Linked DNA regions of Oryctolagus cuniculus. The protein of the gene in region 4 purifies or fractionates together with the protein of the main gene of each other region. This does not show direct contact. Links are inferred from orthologs where the notes say so. Each region holds a gene or a part of one and is shown on either strand. Other genes may lie near its edges.

Region 1 (3,500 bases), on a different chromosome or scaffold from region 4:
ACTCCATCATGAACTCTTTTCCTCAGCAGAGTATCTCACAGGATGCACTATGAGGCATGCTGTTCTAGAACCACATGGAGTCTATTCCCATGACACATCTAAAGCTTTATCTATAGCCCAATAACAGAAGCTCTCCTGAAGTGTCTTGATTGCAGGACATTGTGCTTGGCTCAGACCTATCTATCATCCACAGTTCAGCAATATCTAAGACTGATATGTAGGAATTTTAGATTAGAAATTGATTCTTTCCCTTCTTGTGCTCACAGGTAACAAAGAGTCTACTATTGAGCTAGACAGGGTCTCCTAATGTCTCCTCTCTACAAACTATTTCACTAAACCATCTAGAGTCACAGAATATCTGTTTTAAAAAAATTTACAAATGGAATAAACAAAACTGCACCCTTTGGGTCTCCTACAAGTCAACAAGCAATTATCAATCTGTGGATGTTCACAAATTCTGGTAAGAATGAGAAAAAAATTAATAAATTTTTAACTCTCAAAACATATGATAATCATCCATATAAATTTGATGTGAATAAGTTTCTATTATCTGGCTCATTAGAATAACAAAACTAAAATGCCACTGGATTATTTCTCATTGTTTCTCTGCCTTCAAAATTGTGGACTTTGCTACTGGGGAAAAGGAATCTGTTTAGTTCCTTATTTCTAAGATCTTTCCATTCATATTCAGGCAAAGACTGAATGGTTCTGTTTTTCTCAAAAGAGGCCTGTACACATTTGGAGAAGCCAAAATGATGCCATTTAGCAGACTGAATATCAAACTAATACAGGACTACTTACCCACCTAAAACAGTAAATGAAACAACAGCCTACTGGTGCCACAAGATGGCAATGTTTCAAAGGTTAAACTTCAGTACTATCTCAAACTCCAGACCATCCCGCTCCCCAGACTGGTGAACAAGGATCCCTTTTATTTTGACATTAACAAGCCCAACTTACAAGTTACTTAACAACATTTTTAAGAGACCTAAAAACAATGTGATACAATGCAAACTCAGAACTTAAAAAAACATTCCAAGACAGACATTCTTGTCTTTGATAAGCACGGGAGAAACGTTTTCTAACATCTGCTTCTTGGTAGAAAATATCCTATTTTTGGCAAAGAGAAATTTGTCAAGGCAATGTCATCACTTTGTTTTGTTTCGTTTTCAAGAGCTTAATATTTTTTAGAGTAAGTCATGTGAATGAGATTGTTAATTATAACATATTAAATACAATAAATGAATAAATACAATTTAGATAAATTACACATAATTTAAAAATTAAATATTTTTAAAACAAAATATAATAAATGAGTTATTATCTACCCTGATATATAGTTTTCTTTTTTAATCTTAAAAATAACCTGCATGAAACAAAACAGCAAAAAATGTTTGGTTTTTCTGAAAAGCACTAGTATGTGAATACATATATGTATATATGTAAACAACACATACATTTATTCAAGAGAGAACTTTTCTCAATGTTTAAGGCTTCTCTGCCATATCAGGTTCAACAGTGAAGGTCATGGCCTCTCAAGTTTTGGGAGTACATAAAAGCCCTTGGGGCCAGAATGGTGTTTTCAAACTGAATGGCCAGCAACCAAGAAAGGTAGTGGGAAAGACTCAAAAGCTAAGTTAATGGACCACTGAGGATCAAACAATGAGCAAAGACAATGGTGATTAGTTGGGTTAAGGAGGTGACAGCGATTAGAAACTTAAACTTTAAATGAAGAATTTGCAATGTGAAATGCAAGAAGACCTTCACCTCCTTAACTCCCCCTAATCCCCATCTCATACATACAAAATAAAGGATCAAAAATAAGAGTTCACTTTTAAGGGATCATTGATACGTTGCTTTGTTTCATTTAACTGTCTACTATTGTATTATTCTTTGTTAAGTGCAAAAACATAAAACAAGCCAAAACAAATTTGAGAAAAGTAGGTTTTGAAGGCGTATTTTAAAAGGACATGTTTATAGAAAAGATAAAAATTGTTGCAATTCCAGATGATTTGTTCCAATACCAAATCGAACCCTGAAAGCTCTTAGGCTAAAACCTATTATTTAGGGAAATCTCAAGATAAAGTCCTGAGGTTTCTATAACTGTTTATAAGGTACCTGGAAATCGTGGTTACCTATTACAGGACCACAGCCCTTCTGGTGAGCACTAGGCAATATTTGCAAAAACTTGGCTTCTGAAATTTGGGAGGGCAAGTTTTTAAGAATTCACCATTTATATAATATCTAACTAGTGGTTGTGTTTTAAATCTTGTTCAAGAAAACTGGGGTTGTATAAACACTGCTTAAAGCCTACTGAAATTTAGGAAGCAAATGTGACTGACCTACAATAAAGAGTGAAGCAGGGAGGTATTGACAAACCCCTCTCATGTTGAGAGGGTTCCTCAGTGAGTTGAGTAAATCACCTGAAGTGAACCCACACCTGTGAATTAACAATCTTCATTGATGTCCAATAGTTAAAGACACTGCCTATGTGATTTTATCACAGGCACGTTAGAATTACAGAGTTCTACAGGTAAATAAAATGTCAGACATTTTTGTTTTCAATAATTTCAATGGCATCGAGTGTCCCCTGGAAATATTCATGTCTCTTAATTAGTATTGCAGATATGTGACATCCAGAAGTAAGATAATAATTTAAAGAATATATCTCATCTTTCACAGTGCAGTAACAGAAAGATAGAAACCAGGGACAGATCATCAACGTGCTAAAGTAGTGATCAGACTGGCACACATTTCAAAAAAATCCATGGTGTGACTGCCCAGGCGAGGTGAAACTGAAGACAATGTGCTTCCTGTCAAAGAGCCAGTGAGAGAGCCAGAAAGCGAATGACTCTCTGCAGTGGTAGAATCAAAACTTGATCTTGGCCTGTGTAAGCCAGCCGCAGAGCAGGAGCGCTGAGGTGTTGAGGAACCAGACCTCTGTTCCACTACCTCATCTGGAAAGGACAAAAGAACAATTCATACATAAATTCTATTTGCCCAAGTCCTCTACGAAATTGCTATATTCAGGAGATTATATAAACATATTGGAACAAAGGCAGCTTAGTAATAAATGTCATGTTCAGTGTTTCAGGAGCAGAGGTGGTAATAGCTCTTTCCTCCTAATCCATCACTAATCAATCACAACACTTCCACATGGTCAAAATATGATCCCTAAATCCTTCTCGACAAAATATGTGGTATTAATATTGAAATCAAACTGATAGCCCCACATTTGAAGAAAACATATCATTGACAACTTAATATCTTCCATTATATCAAAAAATAATTTCACTTAATATTTTGTCTAGATTACTTAAAAACCCGTCAATATTTACCCACCATGTCTTTGAGATGATTTTAAAATCTGATCAACTAGTGCCAAGTTTTACTTTCTTAAGAGTTTATACCTGCACAGCTTCCTTACCATCAATGCTTTTAAAGTCCAAAAGATAGCTTCTATTATCAACCAGGTAAAGTTGCAAGCTCATTTTCACATA
Region 2 (3,500 bases), on a different chromosome or scaffold from region 4:
GTCATGAGAAATTAAGATGGTTCAGACCAGTTTGATGGAAATAAAGAAACTCAGAAATAGTCAAATCCTAGATATATTTTAAAGGATAAAATGGAACAGATGGTAGGAAGTGGGAGAAATAGGGAAATTAAGGATGGTTCCTAAGTTTTTCCTCTTGGTAACTGGCTATTAATGGAGATGGTGAAAACTATGGGAAGAGCAGGTTTAAGAGGGTAACAGAGTTCAGCTTTGGCCACATAGGGTTTGAAATGCCTCACATACATCCAAATGGAGCTGTAAAATCAGCAGTGAGCTTGTGAGTCTAGAGTTTAGAAGTTTCAAAGCAGGATATACACATTTAGGGAACAGTAGCATACAGATGTTACTTAATACCATCTCAACATGAGGCCAGCGTACTGTGGCATAGCAGATAAAGCTGCCACCTGCAGTGCTGGAATTCCATATATGTGCTGGTTCAAGTCCCAGCTGCTCCACTTCCCATCCAGCTTTCTGTTATGGCCTGGGAAAGCAGTAGAAGATGGCCCAAGACCTTGGGCCCCATACCCACGAGAGACTCGAAGGAACTCCTGCTCCTGGCTTCAGATTGGCCCAGCTCCAGCCAATGCAGCCATTTGGGGAGTAAACCAGTGGACGAGAGACCTCTCTCTTTCTGCCTTTCAAATAAATTTTATATATATATATATATATATATATATATATATATATATATGCCAGCATTGTGGTGCAACAAGTTAAACAGCTGCTTACAATGCTGGCATCCTATATTGGAGTGCTTGGGTTCAAGTAACAGCTGTTCCACTTCCAAACCAGCTCCCTTTTAATGTGCCCAGGAAAGCTACAGATGATGGTCCAAGTACTTGGGCCCCTGCTCCCCAGGTCAGAGACCTGGATGGAGTTCCAGGCTCCTGGCAATGGCCTGAACCAACCCTGACTCTTGCAGCTATTTGGGCAGTAAACCAGCAGATAGAAGATTTTTTCTCTCTCTCTCTCTTACTGTTTCTTCCTATCTCTGTTGTTTTGCCTTTCAAATAAACAAATCCTTAAAAATAACATATACCTCAACAAATGAGAAGAGGTGACAGTGAAACAAATTTTGAGTCATCCAGTTCATTAGAAAAGGCTGTGAGGTTTCAAATTATAGCTTGCATAACAAAGCAGGAAGTGAATAGTAAATTTATTACCTGTAGGTGCTACAACTGGTAGCAATACAATAGAAGGGTTACTGGATTACTGCCCTTTTCAAATAATAGATTCCTATAGTTTTGTTATATGTATGATCAGATATAAATAGGATGAGGGGAAATCTTTTTCACTGCATTGTCATTAGTGAGGCTAAGTGACATTATGTGGAAATTTAGGTTGTTTTTACTAGCAAATCATTGCTGGTTCAATAGCAATAGGGGCATGGAACACTGTCAGTCAGAAGGACATCTGTCCAGAAGATGAAAGAATAAGAAGGATAATAGCTAAGAAGCACAAGGTCAAAACACAAAGACAGGCTTAACTGACCAAACAGGGTTAGAAAAAATACATGAGCAGGAAGAAACTTTGCAAAACCCTCAGGAAACAGAAATATCAGTAATATTTCTCAGAGGAAGATGAAGTAGATTAACAAAAGTGATAAAAAGATGACTGAACCATGTTTAATGTGAACAAGCTTACAATTTAATTATATGAGGATGCCTGAAAAGCTTGAGGTTCTGAATTTCTCTGCGGATTTTTCCTACCACATCCAGGCTTCGAATTTTCTGTCGATTGAGTATCTTCACGGCAACTTTATGCCCAGTCAATTCATGTTTGCCAACTGTAAGAGAAATAATTTTAATAAATATAAGGCTTGACTAATAATATATTTAGATCTATTCTAAGAGTAGTAAGGTTAGCATTCTCAGAAAATATGTGAACAGATTTAAGTTCTTTTCTCTTCTGCCCAATATTTGCCCTGCATGTTCAAATGTTTCAGAATGAATCTGAATGAAAAATACTAAGAAAACGGTAAAAGTGATCTCTTATAGAAGGGAAAGCTAGAAGGCTAAGACAAGAAAGAAAAAGAAAAGAGACTTTCTTTTTGCTGTATATATTTTTGTACTTTAAAATTACCATACATATAAATTGAACTACTAAGGGGATATACAGTTCTATAGTCTTTAACAGGTGTAGAAATTGATGTAACCACCATTATACTAGGATATACAGCAGTTCCATCATTCCAAAAAACTCCATCATGACAGACTTTAGTTTAATCCTGTTTGAAGGTACTTAATAGATGTTTGACTTGGCAAGTATAAAAACTTTAACCTTCTATTTACTCATTTGTAAAAATAAGAATACCACATACTCCATAACAGTGACTGTGATGAATACATGAAGTAGTGTTTGTAAGGCACTTTCCAGAATGCCTGCCACACAGTGAATGATCAATAAATAAATGTTAGCTACTACTAATTTTTTTAAAAGATTTATTTATTTGGAAAGCCGAGTTACAGAGAGGCAGAAGCAAAGAGAGAAGCCTTCCATCCACTGGTTCACTCCCCAAATGGCCACAACAGCTGAGGCTGGGCCGATCTGAAGCCAGTTTCTTCTTCTGGGTCTCCCACACAGGTGCAGGGACCCAAGTACTTGGGCCATCTTCCACTGCTTTCCCAGGCACATTAGCAGGAAGCTGGATCAGAAGTGGAGCAGCCAGTACTTAAACCAGTGCCAATAAGGGATGCCGGTGTCAGAGGCAGCAGCTTCACCCACTACACCACAGCACTGGCCCCTAGCTACTACTAGTTAGGGTTATTGATTTTCTGTTGTTCCTAGAACTGAATTATCTGCTTTAATATCTGAACAGCCAGTCTTATCTCAGTTCTTTGATCTGCACTCTTTTAGATTCTAAAGCATTCTTTTATGCAGACATATAAGTACTACATAAATAATACCATCATTTTCATGCATCTAGTTCCCATTCCCACAAGTTTCATTCTCACCAACCTGCTCTACCACCACCACCATTGCTGAGATTTCCAACTTCCAAAGTTCAACCAATTTCCTGACTTTAGTTAAAGTTCAACTGATTATTCTTAGGCATATGTGTATTTACTTATAGCACCACTCCCTGACAGTGACTTTATCTATTACGTAAAAACTACAAGAATACTTCTTTGATCATAGAAAAGTTAGAGGGGGAAAAAAAACACAGGTCATTTGACTTACAAATTATAATTTTTACAATATAAAATGTAGTCGATCTATAAAACATAATGTAATTAAGGTATACAGCTCACTAGTTAGTATTTCTGACATACCCAATTTGGATCCAAACATGCTCTCTCACCAGCCCTGAAGATGAGTATTAGCAACATTTTACAGGAAATTGAAGTTCAGCAAAATGATATAACTTGCCCAAAGGTACACAGCTAATGAGTGGCAAAGCCAAAATTTCAACCTAAGTCTGACTCAAAATTAGTGAAATGTGATAAATGTTTCAAGAAAGGTAGTTCTGAAGACACTGTATA
Region 3 (3,500 bases), on a different chromosome or scaffold from region 4:
GCACATTGTTTAGATTTTAAAGCAAGCAATTTTGATGGCATTTAATTAAAATGTAAGTATAAATGTGAACCTATTGAAACATTCATTAACAATTCTTGGGAATACTCAACAACAAGTAATGGAATAACTAAAAAATAATGAAAGCATGAGACTATATGCACTGTTTGGTGACAAATCTGAAAATATCTTTAAGAGATTTTAAAGAACATAAAAACACAGCTTTATTATTCCAAATTTGAAAACCTAGCAGCAAAACAATCTATTTGCATATAATGTAGTGCAATGAGCATTTGTTCATAAAAGACTCTGAAAGTCTTGAAACTATTATACATAAACCAGAATGGAATCCATTAGGATAAATGATTTGAAGATGTCCAGAGTAGCTAGACACTCTCACCTGTTATCACTGAATCCTAAGCAAGCTTATGCAAAACTGTGTTCTGGATAGCTGACTCTTATGACTCCCCAGTAACAAGCTCTGATAAGGCAGATCAGACCTAGAAGATAAGCAATTGCCCAAGAAACATAGGTTGCACGAAATCGCCTTGCAAAGTCTTGGGTGCCAACCTAAAACAAAAAGCAATATGAAAACACAATATTAGAAACTTGAAGAAAATACCCACTTAGAGAACATGTTTTGGTTTATATGCAATTTATATGAACTAGATTCCCAGAGAGAATCCACAAAGTCTTTATAAAACCCGAGTAGGTTTAACATCTGCTGACTAAAACTGACAGATGATATTGCTACCTATATTTACAATCAGTTTTATGAAGTAAACAAAAAGGCACATTAAAATGTTATCGCTAAAGTGTATCTAATCTGTGTAACTCCTAACTATCCTGTGACACAACCTGCTACTAACCTGGGACCAGGTGGACTAACTAAGGAACAAAGAGCACAGAAAGTAAATGGCAGCAAAATGGGACAATTCCTTCCTCTTCCCTTGCATAATCCCCACGGCAACTGTTTGGCTTCCGTCTCCCCTAAAAATAAGCCAATCCTCACATCAGTAATAAATCTCTGCTTGGCTTAAGGAGAAAAAGATACTCCATGGCCACATAATCAAAACAAATGGGCTTTAGTTAAATGGATGGTAAAGTCCCCAATGTCAAGGACTTTTCAGACTTTTCAAGGGGTTCAAAGACACCATTTCATTTGGACGACCAGGCTCCATTTGAAAAACAGGCCTTGGATTGGGTTTCTGATGACCCATGATCCTTCAGAAGCTTCTGGGCCTGGCACGCCAGTGTGCAAGCCTTTTCAGGGACCATTGGTCAGGGACCAGACCTCACCATTATTGATAGTTAAGGGGAAAGAATTCAAATGGTAAAGTAATACTCACAGTTAATCCAACTCCAATGAAAATACAAATCATTCCAATAGTAATGTATGCACAGCAGCGTCTTCGTGGAAGTGCACTACCCACGGAGGAGCTGCAAATTCATGAAAGCAACAGAGAACTTAAGTATTTACATACAGATTATCCATTTCATCTTGGAGTCCTCCAGGGTCTTAGTAACATTATTTTAAATATTTTCATTTATTTCTTGGGCTTGATACACAAAAATATGCATAAAATGTTATTTGTAATGAGTTATGAAATAATAACTGGTGAACTTGTGGTATTATTGTGACTTTAAACAAAATTCAAGCCTTAGTCATTGACAACATCCACAAAAAATGTCCTATGTTCTCTAATGATCCTGTAAGATAATAATATGTTCCCAAGAAAATCACTCACAGAATGAAAAATCAGTGCTAGCTTACATATAGCATTTGATTTTCTTTTTACAGATATAATAGTATATGTTTGGTGTAGAAAATTTGGAAAATAAACTGATAGAAAGGAAAAGTAAAATTATGTGTAATCCCACCATCACAAAATAATAACTCAACATTTTGGCATATAAATTTCTTATAACTTACTAATATATAGCATGAGCACTTTTCTATGTCATTAAGTATTCTCAAACTGGAGTTCTGAAGATGAATATAAGATAATTAACCAAATTCCTACTGTTGTGCACTTAGAATGCTTTGATTATTACAAATAAGGCCAGCTAAATATAATTTAAAAGCATTACAATGGAGGCAGGCATTTGGTTTAGCACTGAAACTGCCAGTTGAGGACCTTGCATCCCATATATATATATATATATATATATATATATATATATATATAATTTGACAGGTAGAGTTACAGACAGTGAGAGAGAGAGACAGAAAGAAAGGTCTTCCTTCTGTTGGTTTACTCCCCAAATGGCCACTGTGGCTGGTGCCACGCCAATCTGAAGCCAGGAGCCAGGTGCTTCTTCCTGGTCTCCCATGTGGGTGCAGGGGCCCAAGCACCTGGGCCATCCTCCACCGCCCTCCCGGGCCACAGCAGAAAGCTGGACTGGAAGAGGAGCAACCGGGACTAGAACTCGGCACCCACATGGGATGCCGGCACCGTAGGCGGAGGATTAACCAAGTGAGCCACGGTGCCGACCCCCCTTGCATCCCTTATTACAGTGCCTGAATTTGGGACTTGGGTCTATTCCTGATCCCATATTTCTGCCACTGGAGCAGCAGATATTGACTAAATAGCTGGGTCTTTGCCACCTGCATGGGAGACCTAAACTGAGTTCCAAGCTCCTGGCTTTGGCCGCCAGCTTGGGATCCTTGCAAGTATTTGAGGAGTGAACCAGGGAATGGAAGCACTCTTTTCTGTCCTCTGTCTCTCACCCCCACCCCCACATTCTATCGATCCACTCATACATACTTATTTTAAAATAAAATAAAATATTGCTTATTTTTCATCATTTTCTTAAAATATTTTAGGGGCTGGCACTGTGGCATTACAGGTTAAGTCACTGCCTGAAACGCTGGCATCCATATCAGAGCACTGACCTTACAGTATTGTTTGTACCTTGTGATATGTCTGAAACATTTAATACTAAATTAATTTTTTAAGAATAGGTCTGGCGTTGTCTCACAGTGGGTTAAGCCACACTCCCTGTGACACCAGTGTCCCACACGAGCACTGGTTTGAGTCCTGCCTACTCAAGTCCCAGCTGTTCCGCTTCTGCTCCAGCTCTCTGGTAATGCACCAGGAAAGGCAGTGGAGGACTTGGGCCCTACCACCCACGGGGGAGACCTGAATACAGTTCCAGGTTCCTGGTTTGGGCCTGACCCAATCCTGGCTGTTGAGGCCATTGGGGGAGTGAACCAGCAGATGGGAGATTTCTCTCTTCATCTCTCTGTCTCTCTGTGTGTCACTCTGCCTTTCCAATAAGTCTTTTTACAAAGACTTTTGCTTTAGAATTATAATTACAAAGTTATTATAATTACAAAGTTAAGGAGGTTAGTCTTTTATTTTCTTTTATAGATTTATTTATTTACTTGAAAGTCAGAAAGAGAGAGGTCTTCCATCTACTGGTTGACTTTCCAGTTGGTTACAACGGCCAGAGCTGTGCAGATCCAAAGCCAGGACCCAGGAGCTTCTTCTGGGTCTCCC
Region 4 (2,561 bases):
GCCCCTCCCCTACTGCAGGTCAGGTCGTGGGCCTCTACTCCCGCTTTGATGTGATCGTAAGTGTGGATGGGGAGCTGGGGGGGGGAGGTGGTGGTGTGAGCACCAGTAGGGGAACTTGGTAGACATGGGGGGACATTTCTGAGGGGGGCTGGAGCCTGAACGGGGGAGTGACCAAGAGCCCCCCTTTGTTCCCTACCCCAGCACCTGGCTGCCCAGCAAACCTACAACCACCTGGACATGAGTGTGGGGGAAGCCCTGAGGCAGAGGACAGTGTGCCTGGAGGGGGTCCTCTCCTGCCAGCCCCACGAGACCCTGGGGGAAGTCATCGACAGGATTGCACGGGAACAGGTACCCCATGCGCCTCCAGGCGCCTCCCCACCCCCACACAGCTCTGTTCTTCTATTCCTGTACGCTGTGCACCTGCTCCGTCCTTCCACTTCCCGACAACTCTTTTCATGACCACGGGGCCCTGGTGCCAAGGGCCACAGCCAGCTTGCATGGCTGCCTGCTTCCTGGGAGATCCCCTCTCGTCCCTGTCCCCAGCCCCGTCAACTTCCTCACCCTGTTTCTTGGGTCCGACCTCTTCCATGGCCATGGTCCCCTGGCTCTGCGCCCTCACTGAGCACGGTCTGCCCACAGGTGCACCGGCTGGTGCTAGTGGATGAGACCCAGCATCTCCTGGGCGTGGTCTCCCTCTCCGACATTCTGCAGGCGCTGGTGCTCAGCCCTGCTGGCATCGACGCCCTCGGTGCCTGAGAACACTGAGTCCTCCCTCCCGGGCCACCTTCTGCACCTGAAGCCAATGAAGGGAGCCGGGGGAACTCGGCCTTCGTCTTCCCCACCCGTTTGCTGGCTCAGCTCTGTCTGGTTCAGGTAGGCTGCACCCTGGGTCTTTCTGGGCTCTCAGATCTCAGATTGGGGCCCACTCCATGTGGCCCCCATGGAAACTCACCAGCCACCACTTTGTCCCATGCTCAGCCGAAGTCCTGGAGGCCTTCCCGGGAGGGGGTGAGGGGACAGAGGATGAGCTAAAGACAAGGATTTCAGGGGCCCTGGGATGGAGTCCCCGCTGTCTCGCTGGCAATACAGCATCTGCTGGGAGATCCATGACAAGGGAGCAAGCTAACAAACCCTTGCTGAGTGGAATCTCCATGCATGAATTCCACCCAGGACTCCCCAGTAGGAGGCAGCTCCCCCTCCTTGCCTGGTCACCGTCTTTGCTTCTGTCTCCCTCACAGATGTCTCCAGCCCTTTCCCTGCCTGTGCTCCCAGAAGCCCTTGGGCGCAGCCACTGCACCATGGGACGATGAGATGAAAGAGAACAGCTAAGCCTGGAGGCCCCTGCACCAACCCTCTGGGATGGCCCCAGGGACACCTGTGCTCCATGACCGCCGGGATTCCTTCCCTCACCTGGGTCAGGACTGGCCCTAGGGGGCAGCAGTGAGCCTGCAGCCCATGGGGTCAGTCAGGGGCTCCAGGTCCCTCGGCTTCGGGATTGCCCCCTACTCACACCCCCAGCCCCTGGGAGTCCCAGCTAGTCATTCAGGGGCTAACTTCACCACCGTCCTCGGACTCTCCCGGCATTGTCGCTCCAGGGCTGCTGGGAGTCACCACGGAGCCACAGTTACTACAGAGCTGCCTGCGGAGTGGGGTCCTCCCTCCGCGCTTCCCCAGAAAGCCCTTAGCTCTCCGCAGCGAGCAGGGCTGCCAGTCCCTGCTGGTGGGTGGCCTTGTATTCGGATCCCTGAGAACAAGCAACGGAAAAAGCAAAAAGAACAATCCCCGAAACCGGCTCTTAGTAGGGCTCACTCAAAATGGCACAGTCATCTAACCTGAGCTTGTGGCAAGATCCCTGTGCTGTCTGAATTCAAAAACGCCAACGAAAATCTGCAGTCGGCAAAAGCTGCAAGTGGCATTTCCTTTGTACCCAAAGTGTATTCCACCAAAATTCCTTTTTTACCTTTTGTTTATAACAAAACCATAACTACCTATGTCTATGGCAGGAAGCACTCCATCTACCAACTCTAAGCTGTGAGAAATATAACTTGTCTAACACCGAGACTCATTTCTACCGTGAACCTGATCTCCACTGTGTACCCCATTTCGATTCGGGGTTAAGATCGGGAGAGAGGGCCGGCACCACGGCTCACTAGGCTAATCCTCCGCCTAGCGGCGCCGGCACACCGGGTTCTAGTCCCGGTCGGGGCGCCGGATTCTGTCCCGGTTGCCCCTCTTCCAGGCCAGCTCTCTGCTGTGGCCAGGGAGTGCAGTGGAGGATGGCCCAGGTGCTTGGGCCCTGCACCCCATGGGAGACCAGGAAAAGCACCTGGCTCCTGGCTCCTGCCATCGGATCAGCGCGGTGCGCCGGCCGTCAGCGCGCCGGCCGCGGCGGCCATTGGAGGGTGAACCAACGGCAAAGGAAGACCTTTCTCTCTGTCTCTCTCTCTCTCACTGTCCACTCTGCCTGTCAAAAAAAAAAAAAAAAAAAAAAAAAAAAAAAAAACAAGATTGGGAGAGAGGGGTGCTTTATGTGGTGCTAGACTTTGCTCCTTAGCCATCAG
Region 5 (4,166 bases), on a different chromosome or scaffold from region 4:
TCTAGCAAAGTTTCAGAAGATTTACTTTGGGGAAGAAGAGATGTCTATATTTCCTATTAAATACCACTCAAAAAAATAGCTTATGAAGACATTAGGAAATAAAACTGATACACGGAGCCAATGCTAGGGCACTGAAGGTTGAGCCTGCAGCAATGCCATCGAATTCTGGCTGTTCCACTTCTGATCCAGCTTCCTGCTAGCTAGGGTGCCTGAGAAGGCAGTGGAGGATGGCTCAAGTCGTTGGGCCCCTGCACCAACATGGGAGACCAGGAAGAAACTCCTGGCTTTGGCCTGGCCCAGCTCCACCATTGCAGACATCTAGGGAATCAATCAATGGATTCTCTCTCTGCTTCTGCCTCTCCCTCCCTTTCAAATAAATAAATCTTTAAAAAAGAAAAAAAAAAAAAACTGATATACGTTTCCTTGTTAATTGGTTGTCAAAATTATTCAACTTGTCTATAATTTTTTTTTTTTTTTGACAGGCAGAGTTAGAAAGTGAGAGAGACAGAGAGAAAGGCCTTCCTTCCGTGGGTTCACCCCCCAAATGGCCGCTGTGGCCGGTGTGCTGTGCCGATCCAAAGCCAGGAACCAGGTGCTTCCTCCTGGTCTCCCATGCGGGTGCAGGGCCTAAGCACTAGGGCCATCCTCCACTGCACTCCCGGGCCACAGCAGAGAGCTGGCCTGGAAGAGGGGCAACCGGGACAGAATCCGGCACCCCAACCGGGACTAGAACCCGTGGTGCCAGCGCCGCAGGCAGAGGATTAGCCTAGTGAGCCATGGCGCCGGCCTATAATTTTTTTCTTAGTTTGTATTAATTGTTTACTTGTTTCTTATCAATAAATTCAAAGAGTACTGGGAAGCAAGCCCTTTCACAGTTAATACTTTTGATAGTTCTTCATCAAAATCTTGGTTTCTGCAGCACCGGTTCTAGTCCCAGCTGCTCCTCTTTCAATCCAACTCTCTGCTATGTCCTGGGAAAGCAGCAGAAGATGGCCCAAGTCCTTGGGCCCCTGTACCCACGCAGGAGACCTGGAATAAGCTCCTAGCTCCTGGCTCCTGGCTTTGGATGGGTTCAGTTGCGGCCACTTACGGAGTGAACCAGTGGATGGAAGGCCTCTCTCTATCACTCCCTCTCACCTTCTGTAATTCTTCCTCTCAAAAAAAATATTTTTTAAAAAATCTTGGTTTAAGGCCAGCGCAGCGGCTCACTAGGCTAATCCTCCGCCTAGCGGCGCTGGCACACAAGGTTCTAGTCCCAGTTGGGGCGCCGGATTCTGTCCCGGTTGCCCCTCTTCCAGGCCAGCTCTCTGCTGTGGCCAGGGAGTGCAGTGGAGGATGGCCCAGGTGCTTGGGCCCTGCACCCCATGGGAGACCAGGAAAAGCATCTGGCTCCTGGCTCCTGCCACCGGATCAGCGCGGTGCGCCGGCCGCAGCGGCCATTGGAGGGTGAACCAACGGCAAAGGAAGACCTTTCTCTCTGTCTCTCTCTCACTGTCCACTCTGCCTGTCAAAAATAAATAAATAAATAAATAAAACTTGGTTTAAGTTTACACTTTTAATGGAAAAAAGGGTAAATTTTTCAGAAAACACAATTTTATTCTGAAATGTAAAATTTCAGGTATTTTCTGACTGTTCTATACAGTTTATGGAGGAAGATATAGCCAAGATATTAGAGAACAGCATGTAAAAGCAACTTACAAGTTTCAAGACAAGAGCAGCAGAAGAAACGAGACGCAAACACCTTTAAAACAGTAACAGCTTCATTTAATAAGAGCTATTTCAGCTGCCCTATTTCTAATGCAAAGACTGTTCAGATGTTTTCCATGAAGAACTTAAACTACTGGTCAAAAAAACCTGTAAGAGAACATGGTATTCTAATTCCACTCTTTGAGACTTCTCTAGAGTTGTTTCCCTTTCTAGAAAAGTAGATTTAAATCCTATGCAGTCCAGGGTCCTTTCCAATCCGCCCTCGCCCCCCAAAGCACACGTTTTGAGTCGGCAGTGGAGTTAGAATCCTGACTGCTCTCCGGTACCAAACATTTATAAGCAATTGTTTGAACAGAAGAAACGCAATTCCTTCTCAAAATGCTTTTATTTGGCAAACTCTGCTGCTCCTTTTTTTAGACAAGCCCTTCGCAAAAGGAGGGGAGGAGGAGAGGGGACAATGCCTTCCTGCGGCTTTTCAAGGTACAGGATGGGAATAAATGGCTTTAAAACAGGTGTTGGGTTTTTTCTCCCGAATTAAATGAGGCAGAATTACACACGCCTCAGCCCCAGGCAACCGCACCAAAGAGGTTTTAAGACGTTGTCTTCTGTTCTTACCATGAAACTGAGCCCCTGAAGGCTCCAAACGCAACGAAATAGCTCTGGGGCTCAGAACAAACGGGTAAGCTCGCACTCGGACCCGGCCCGGCTCAACTAGCTCCCACCCAGCAAGAGCCGCTAGCTGCCCACTCGGCTCAAGGAGGCCCCGCGGCGCCTCAGGCCTCCGGGAAAACATTCCCCAGTCCTCCAGCGCCTCTTTGCTCCCGCAAACATTCAAGCCTCACTCGATATTCCTGTCCACAGTCCCTTCGGCCTCCAAAGAGAAGCCTCTGCCTGCTCAAGACCCTCTTTTACCTTCTTCAACTCCAGATCCACGGGGGCCGCCATCTTGATGCACCCCTCTGCGCCTGCGCATTGGAAGAAGGCCGGAAAGGGGTGGGGGAAGGGCTGCGTTTTGATGGGTCGCCCTCCTAATGCGCCTGCGCCTGCGTGCCGCTAATCGGGTTTGTTTCCCTGTTGCGGAGCGGGTTACTCTAAATATTCAAGATTCCGATTCAATTTGTCTTCCCTTGCTGACCTATCAGGTCTGGCTTGTTCCTCCACATCTTCCAGACACAGCCCAACGTGTAGATTTCGCTTGTGGCTTTGAACAGTTTGATAGTTTTTCTACTCAATTGAGAAGTGCGTGGATCAGGTCAAACCCTCATCAGTTATTCAGTCCTACAGCTCGTCCTGTGCTGTCAGAGATGAGTAAGAAGGGACCCCAGACCTCAGGCCTAACCATATGGAGAAGACTATTAGAAGGCTTGGGTTTTCCACCAAAGAACTCATTTCTACTGAATGCTCCCAAAGACTTTCTAGATTAGAGATTCTCGAGGGAGGTGATATGTTTGATTTTTGGAAAAATTTTTGGAAAAATGTTTAGTACAGTGGCTAAGACATCAGCATCTCATACTGGAGTGTATGGGTTTGAATCCTGATTAGGCTTCCAATTCTGGTTTCCTGCTAATGAACACCCTGAAAGGCCTTAGTAATGGATCGAGTAATAGGGTTCCTGCCACCCATATGGCAGACCTGAATTGGCCAGCTTTGTTCTGGCCAATCCTGGCACTTGAGGACTTTTGTAGAATGAATCAGTGGAAGGAATCAAGATTTCTCTCTCTCCCTCTCTCTCTCTCTCTCTCTCTCTCTCTCTTTCAAATAATAGTAATAAATGTTAAATAATATAGATTCTTAGGTCTCATTCCAAGCTTATTCAGAATCTTTGAGGGCTTAAAAATTTGCAATTATCCTAACTCCCCATGACCTGGTGGCGCAAAAGTTGTCTACAGAACACATTTGGAGAACCTCTGCTATAAAAGGACCTAGCATTTGAAACAGGCAATTGGGTTTGAGTCCCGGCTGCTCCACTTGTGATCCACCTTTCTGCTGTGGCCTGGGAAAGCAGTAGAAGATGGCTTAACTCCTTGGGCCCCTGCACCCGTGTGGAGACCCAGGGGAGGCTCCCGGCTCCTGGCTTCAGATTTGCTCAGCTCTGGCCGTTGCGGTCATTTCCGGAGTGAACCAGCACATGGAAGACCTCTCTGGCTCTACCTCTCTCTGTAACTCTGTCTTTCAAATTAAAAAATAATAATTCTTTAAAAAAAAAAAAAAGAAAGAAAGAAAGGGACCAGCGCCGCGGCTCACTAGGCTAATCCTCCGCCTAGTGGCGCCGGCACAATGGGTTCTAGTCCCGGTCGGGGCGCCGGATTCTGTCCCAGTTGCCTCTCTTCCAGGCCAGCTCTCTGCTGTGGCCAGGGAGTGCAGTGGAGGATGGCCCAAGTCCTTGGGCCCTGCACCCCATGGGAGACCAGAAGTACCTGGCTCCTGCCTTCAGATCAGCACGGTGCGCTGGCCGCAGC
Region 6 (2,903 bases), on a different chromosome or scaffold from region 4:
CCACTCACCCAGGCTCCTCAGCAAGCAGCAACTCTGAGCGGGCAGCTTGGACGCTGGTTTCCTCTTCCTCAGCTTCAGCTGCCTCAAGTCTGCTGCGCGTCTTGGACTTGGAAGGCGGCAGCTACAACAGCGTTGGGAGTGGAGGAGGAGGAGGAGGAGGAGCGGAGGGAGAACACGGAGAATCACAGCAGAGCCACCGGGCCCCACCTCCATCCTTCTCACCCAGGCGCTCCCAGCCTCCAGTCCTTCCCCACCGTCCAGCGATTCTCACCTTTTTAGATTTGTCAATGCGACGGAACTTCCGGGCTGCCTCCACCGGGACGGGGGCGGGGCCCGGGAAGGGGTCCTGGGCCTGGGGCAGAGAGGAGGCAGTCAGCTCACAGCTTCGGGCTGACCCCCCAACCCTTTCACTCGCAAAGCACAGAGAAACCTGCCCCCGCCACCCTGCCGCGGTGCAGGCTCACCCCAGACAAGCTCCGCTGGGGCTCCGGCTTCTTCGGCCCTCGAGACTTCCTCGCGACCAGGGTCTTCTTGGAGATGCGCGACTTCTTTGTGACCTGAGTGTTCTTTGGTCTCTGGGGCCGGAGCTCCCGGTTCCGCTTCTTCTTAGGAGGCGGGCCTGGAGAGGCGCCGGTGGCGCTCGGAGTGGTGTCCACTTCCCAGTATCGCCGCGGTTTCTACGGGCAGATCAGGAGCCCTGGAACTCCGCGGCCCACGTCCCGCCCCCGAACCCCACAGCTAAAACCTCCCTGCCCGTCCAGAGAAGCCTGTACCTTCCTCTTGGCCTGAGGTTTGTCCTTCTTGGGTGGGGCATCCTGACTGGCCTTTGGGACTGTCTCCATCTCGCCCACTGGAACAACGATCCACGTGCAAATCTCTCAGCTGTCCCACAGTCGGCTTAGACTCTCCCGGAAGTCCTCTGTTCCGCCTCAGCCAATCAGCATCGTTCCAGGGCTGAAGTCTTGAGCACGCCATCTTGAGTGAGGGCACACTCTCCTTTAAGGGGCGGGGCGTGCTGTGGCATCTCCCTCGGGCGCCGCAGCTTATACCCGAGGAATGGGGAAAAAAAGTCAAGTCCGGGCCAGAAACCAGTAACAGAATAGTCTTTTTCCGGATTAACTTCTCTGTCTTGCCTAAAACCTTCTGAGTCCAGTCATTTCAGCCGAATGCCGCTTATTAAAAATGTTAGAACTACATTTCCCGACATGCAACCTGGAGGCAACTTCCGGATTGATTTTCCCAGCATTCCATGTTTACTTCCGGGTTGATTAATACAGAAGGGAGAACGTGAGTAGGTTAGGGTACCGTTTCAGGGGTTTTGCGTTTCTTTTCGTCCTGCACCCACTGGGGTCGGGTCGATTCGACTTCCCGGACAGGGAGAGGCCGCGGTGCCCCGAAGGACTGCCTCTCAAGAGGACTGTCATTTCCGTCGGCCCGACCAGAAAGGGGAGCTCGACCCCAGCGCCCCTCTCCCGTTCCCGCAGGCTTTCATCCCCGCCATGGCCGAGCTGATCCAGAAGAAGCTGCAGGGAGAAGTGGAGAAGTATCAACAGCTACAGAAGGGTAAGGGACCGGGTGGGCGTAGTCTCGCCGCAGCCCGCAGACTAGCCGAAACGAGCTCTCCGCCCCAGCCGGCCCGCTCCTTCCCCGCCTGTATACTCGCCCCTTCTTCCCGGTCTGCTTCCTCACATCCGCCTTCTGGGCCAGGACTGTGGGAGCCCGTGGCACTCTTGGTGTCCCACTCACGTCTCCCTTCCTCCCTAGACTTGAGTAAATCCATGTCAGGGAGGCAGAAGCTTGAAGCCCAACTAACGGAAAACAACATCGTGAAGGAGGTGAGGGGCCGGGAGTTGTGGGGGCGGAGCAGCCTGGACCGGCTGCGGTTCTGATCAGACCCGTCCCGCTCGCCCACCAGGAACTGGCTCTGCTGGACGGGTCCAACGTGGTCTTTAAACTGCTGGGGCCGGTGCTGGTTAAGCAGGAGCTGGGGGAGGCGCGGGCCACGGTGGGGAAGAGGCTGGACTACATCACAGCTGAAATGTGAGTTTTTGTCCCACTGCCCTGGCTGTCGGCCGGCGGGTGCTGGGGACCTGAGTGGATTGCCCTTCGGAGCAGCCCACGGAAGCCTCCCCTTTTAACGCGGCCTGCCCCTCCCCCTAGCAAGTCCCTCTAACTTCTCCCTGTCTTCTCTGGCCCCTGGCCTCTCCTCAGTAAGCGATACGAATCCCAGCTCCGGGACCTGGAACGGCAGTCAGAGCAGCAGAGGGAGACCCTGGCCCAGCTGCAGCAGGAGTTCCAGCGGGCCCAGGCGGCCAAGGCAGGGGCTCCCGGGAAGGCCTGACCTCGGGGCGGGGCGGGGTGGGATGGGCCACTCTAAGTACCTAATAAAATGTAAACACCTGGCTCTGTTGTCCTGCTTGTCTGTTCCCCCGGCCTCCATCACCTGACCCACACACCACACACCACTGTTACTCCCTCAAGCCCACATTCCAGCACCTGCAGTCTCTGGAACTAAACTCTAAAATGTCTCAAAGCTGCTCCTCACCTGTACTCGTATGTACAGCCCTTAATTCTCCGTTATTTTCCTAAGACACGGCCTTTTAGGAAACACAAGGACATTTACAACCTAAGCATATTGTTGGGAGTGTCGTTTAAATTGAAGAACTCAGAATTCTCTGAGAACCCAGGATGAAATGTGACTCCTCCCCTTGCTGTGAATACAAGTGCTCCGTAGGGCTCATGGGAAAATGGAAATAAAAGGTTGGGTTACAGCAGGTGGGGGCTTTTGACTCTGCTTCTCAATAAAAATATTTCCATGCAAGACATTTTGAATCATGCATTTTCCATGTACTCTTTGAAGACCCATCACATGCATGACTCCAAAGCTTCTGTACCAAAATAAC

The links.
Region 1: the proteins of PRKAG3 (region 4) and PRKAA2 purify together in Homo sapiens (affinity purification with mass spectrometry; 3 studies listed by BioGRID and IntAct, counting the BioPlex papers as one, with this or other methods). This does not show direct contact. The link is inferred for Oryctolagus cuniculus from reciprocal best matches to the Homo sapiens genes PRKAG3 and PRKAA2.
Region 2: the proteins of PRKAG3 (region 4) and PRKAA1 purify together in Homo sapiens (affinity purification with mass spectrometry; 3 studies listed by BioGRID and IntAct, counting the BioPlex papers as one, with this or other methods). This does not show direct contact. The link is inferred for Oryctolagus cuniculus from reciprocal best matches to the Homo sapiens genes PRKAG3 and PRKAA1.
Region 3: the proteins of PRKAG3 (region 4) and PIP4P2 purify together in Homo sapiens (affinity purification with mass spectrometry; 3 studies listed by BioGRID and IntAct, with this or other methods). This does not show direct contact. The link is inferred for Oryctolagus cuniculus from reciprocal best matches to the Homo sapiens genes PRKAG3 and PIP4P2.
Region 5: the proteins of PRKAG3 (region 4) and PFDN1 purify together in Homo sapiens (affinity purification with mass spectrometry; 3 studies listed by BioGRID and IntAct, counting the BioPlex papers as one, with this or other methods). This does not show direct contact. The link is inferred for Oryctolagus cuniculus from reciprocal best matches to the Homo sapiens genes PRKAG3 and PFDN1.
Region 6: the proteins of PRKAG3 (region 4) and PFDN6 purify together in Homo sapiens (affinity purification with mass spectrometry; 3 studies listed by BioGRID and IntAct, with this or other methods). This does not show direct contact. The link is inferred for Oryctolagus cuniculus from reciprocal best matches to the Homo sapiens genes PRKAG3 and PFDN6.

The regions. Positions count from the first base shown.
Region 1 is NC_091438.1:116,460,579-116,464,078, forward strand, and holds part of PRKAA2 (5'-AMP-activated protein kinase catalytic subunit alpha-2), read right to left. Parts: coding exon 3,428-3,500; intron 2,958-3,427; coding exon 2,719-2,957; 3' UTR 1-2,718. UniProt on the Homo sapiens protein: Catalytic subunit of AMP-activated protein kinase (AMPK), an energy sensor protein kinase that plays a key role in regulating cellular energy metabolism.
Region 2 is NC_091445.1:66,041,618-66,045,117, forward strand, and holds part of PRKAA1 (5'-AMP-activated protein kinase catalytic subunit alpha-1), read right to left. Parts: intron 1,805-3,500; coding exon 1,663-1,804; intron 1-1,662. UniProt on the Homo sapiens protein: Catalytic subunit of AMP-activated protein kinase (AMPK), an energy sensor protein kinase that plays a key role in regulating cellular energy metabolism.
Region 3 is NC_091437.1:116,416,130-116,419,629, forward strand, and holds part of PIP4P2 (type 2 phosphatidylinositol 4,5-bisphosphate 4-phosphatase), read right to left. Parts: intron 1,438-3,500; coding exon 1,347-1,437; intron 568-1,346; coding exon 424-567; 3' UTR 1-423. UniProt on the Homo sapiens protein: Catalyzes the hydrolysis of phosphatidylinositol-4,5-bisphosphate (PtdIns-4,5-P2) to phosphatidylinositol-4-phosphate (PtdIns-4-P).
Region 4 is NC_091434.1:20,619,485-20,622,045, forward strand, and holds the end of PRKAG3 (5'-AMP-activated protein kinase subunit gamma-3), read left to right. Parts: intron 1-18; coding exon 19-56; intron 57-201; coding exon 202-348; intron 349-639; coding exon 640-756; 3' UTR 757-873; intron 874-1,238; 3' UTR 1,239-2,061; downstream 2,062-2,561. UniProt on the Homo sapiens protein: AMP/ATP-binding subunit of AMP-activated protein kinase (AMPK), an energy sensor protein kinase that plays a key role in regulating cellular energy metabolism.
Region 5 is NC_091437.1:27,961,788-27,965,953, forward strand, and holds the start of PFDN1 (prefoldin subunit 1), read right to left. Parts: upstream 2,801-4,166; 5' UTR 2,653-2,800; coding exon 2,620-2,652; intron 1-2,619. UniProt on the Homo sapiens protein: Binds specifically to cytosolic chaperonin (c-CPN) and transfers target proteins to it. Binds to nascent polypeptide chain and promotes folding in an environment in which there are many competing pathways for nonnative proteins.
Region 6 is NC_091436.1:135,834,645-135,837,547, reverse strand, and holds PFDN6 (prefoldin subunit 6), read left to right. Parts: upstream 1-1,241; 5' UTR 1,242-1,499; coding exon 1,500-1,563; intron 1,564-1,764; coding exon 1,765-1,835; intron 1,836-1,915; coding exon 1,916-2,040; intron 2,041-2,211; coding exon 2,212-2,341; 3' UTR 2,342-2,403; downstream 2,404-2,903. Other genes in the region: WDR46 (WD repeat-containing protein 46), read right to left, coding at 9-121, 272-352, 465-677, 774-842. UniProt on the Homo sapiens protein: Binds specifically to cytosolic chaperonin (c-CPN) and transfers target proteins to it. Binds to nascent polypeptide chain and promotes folding in an environment in which there are many competing pathways for nonnative proteins.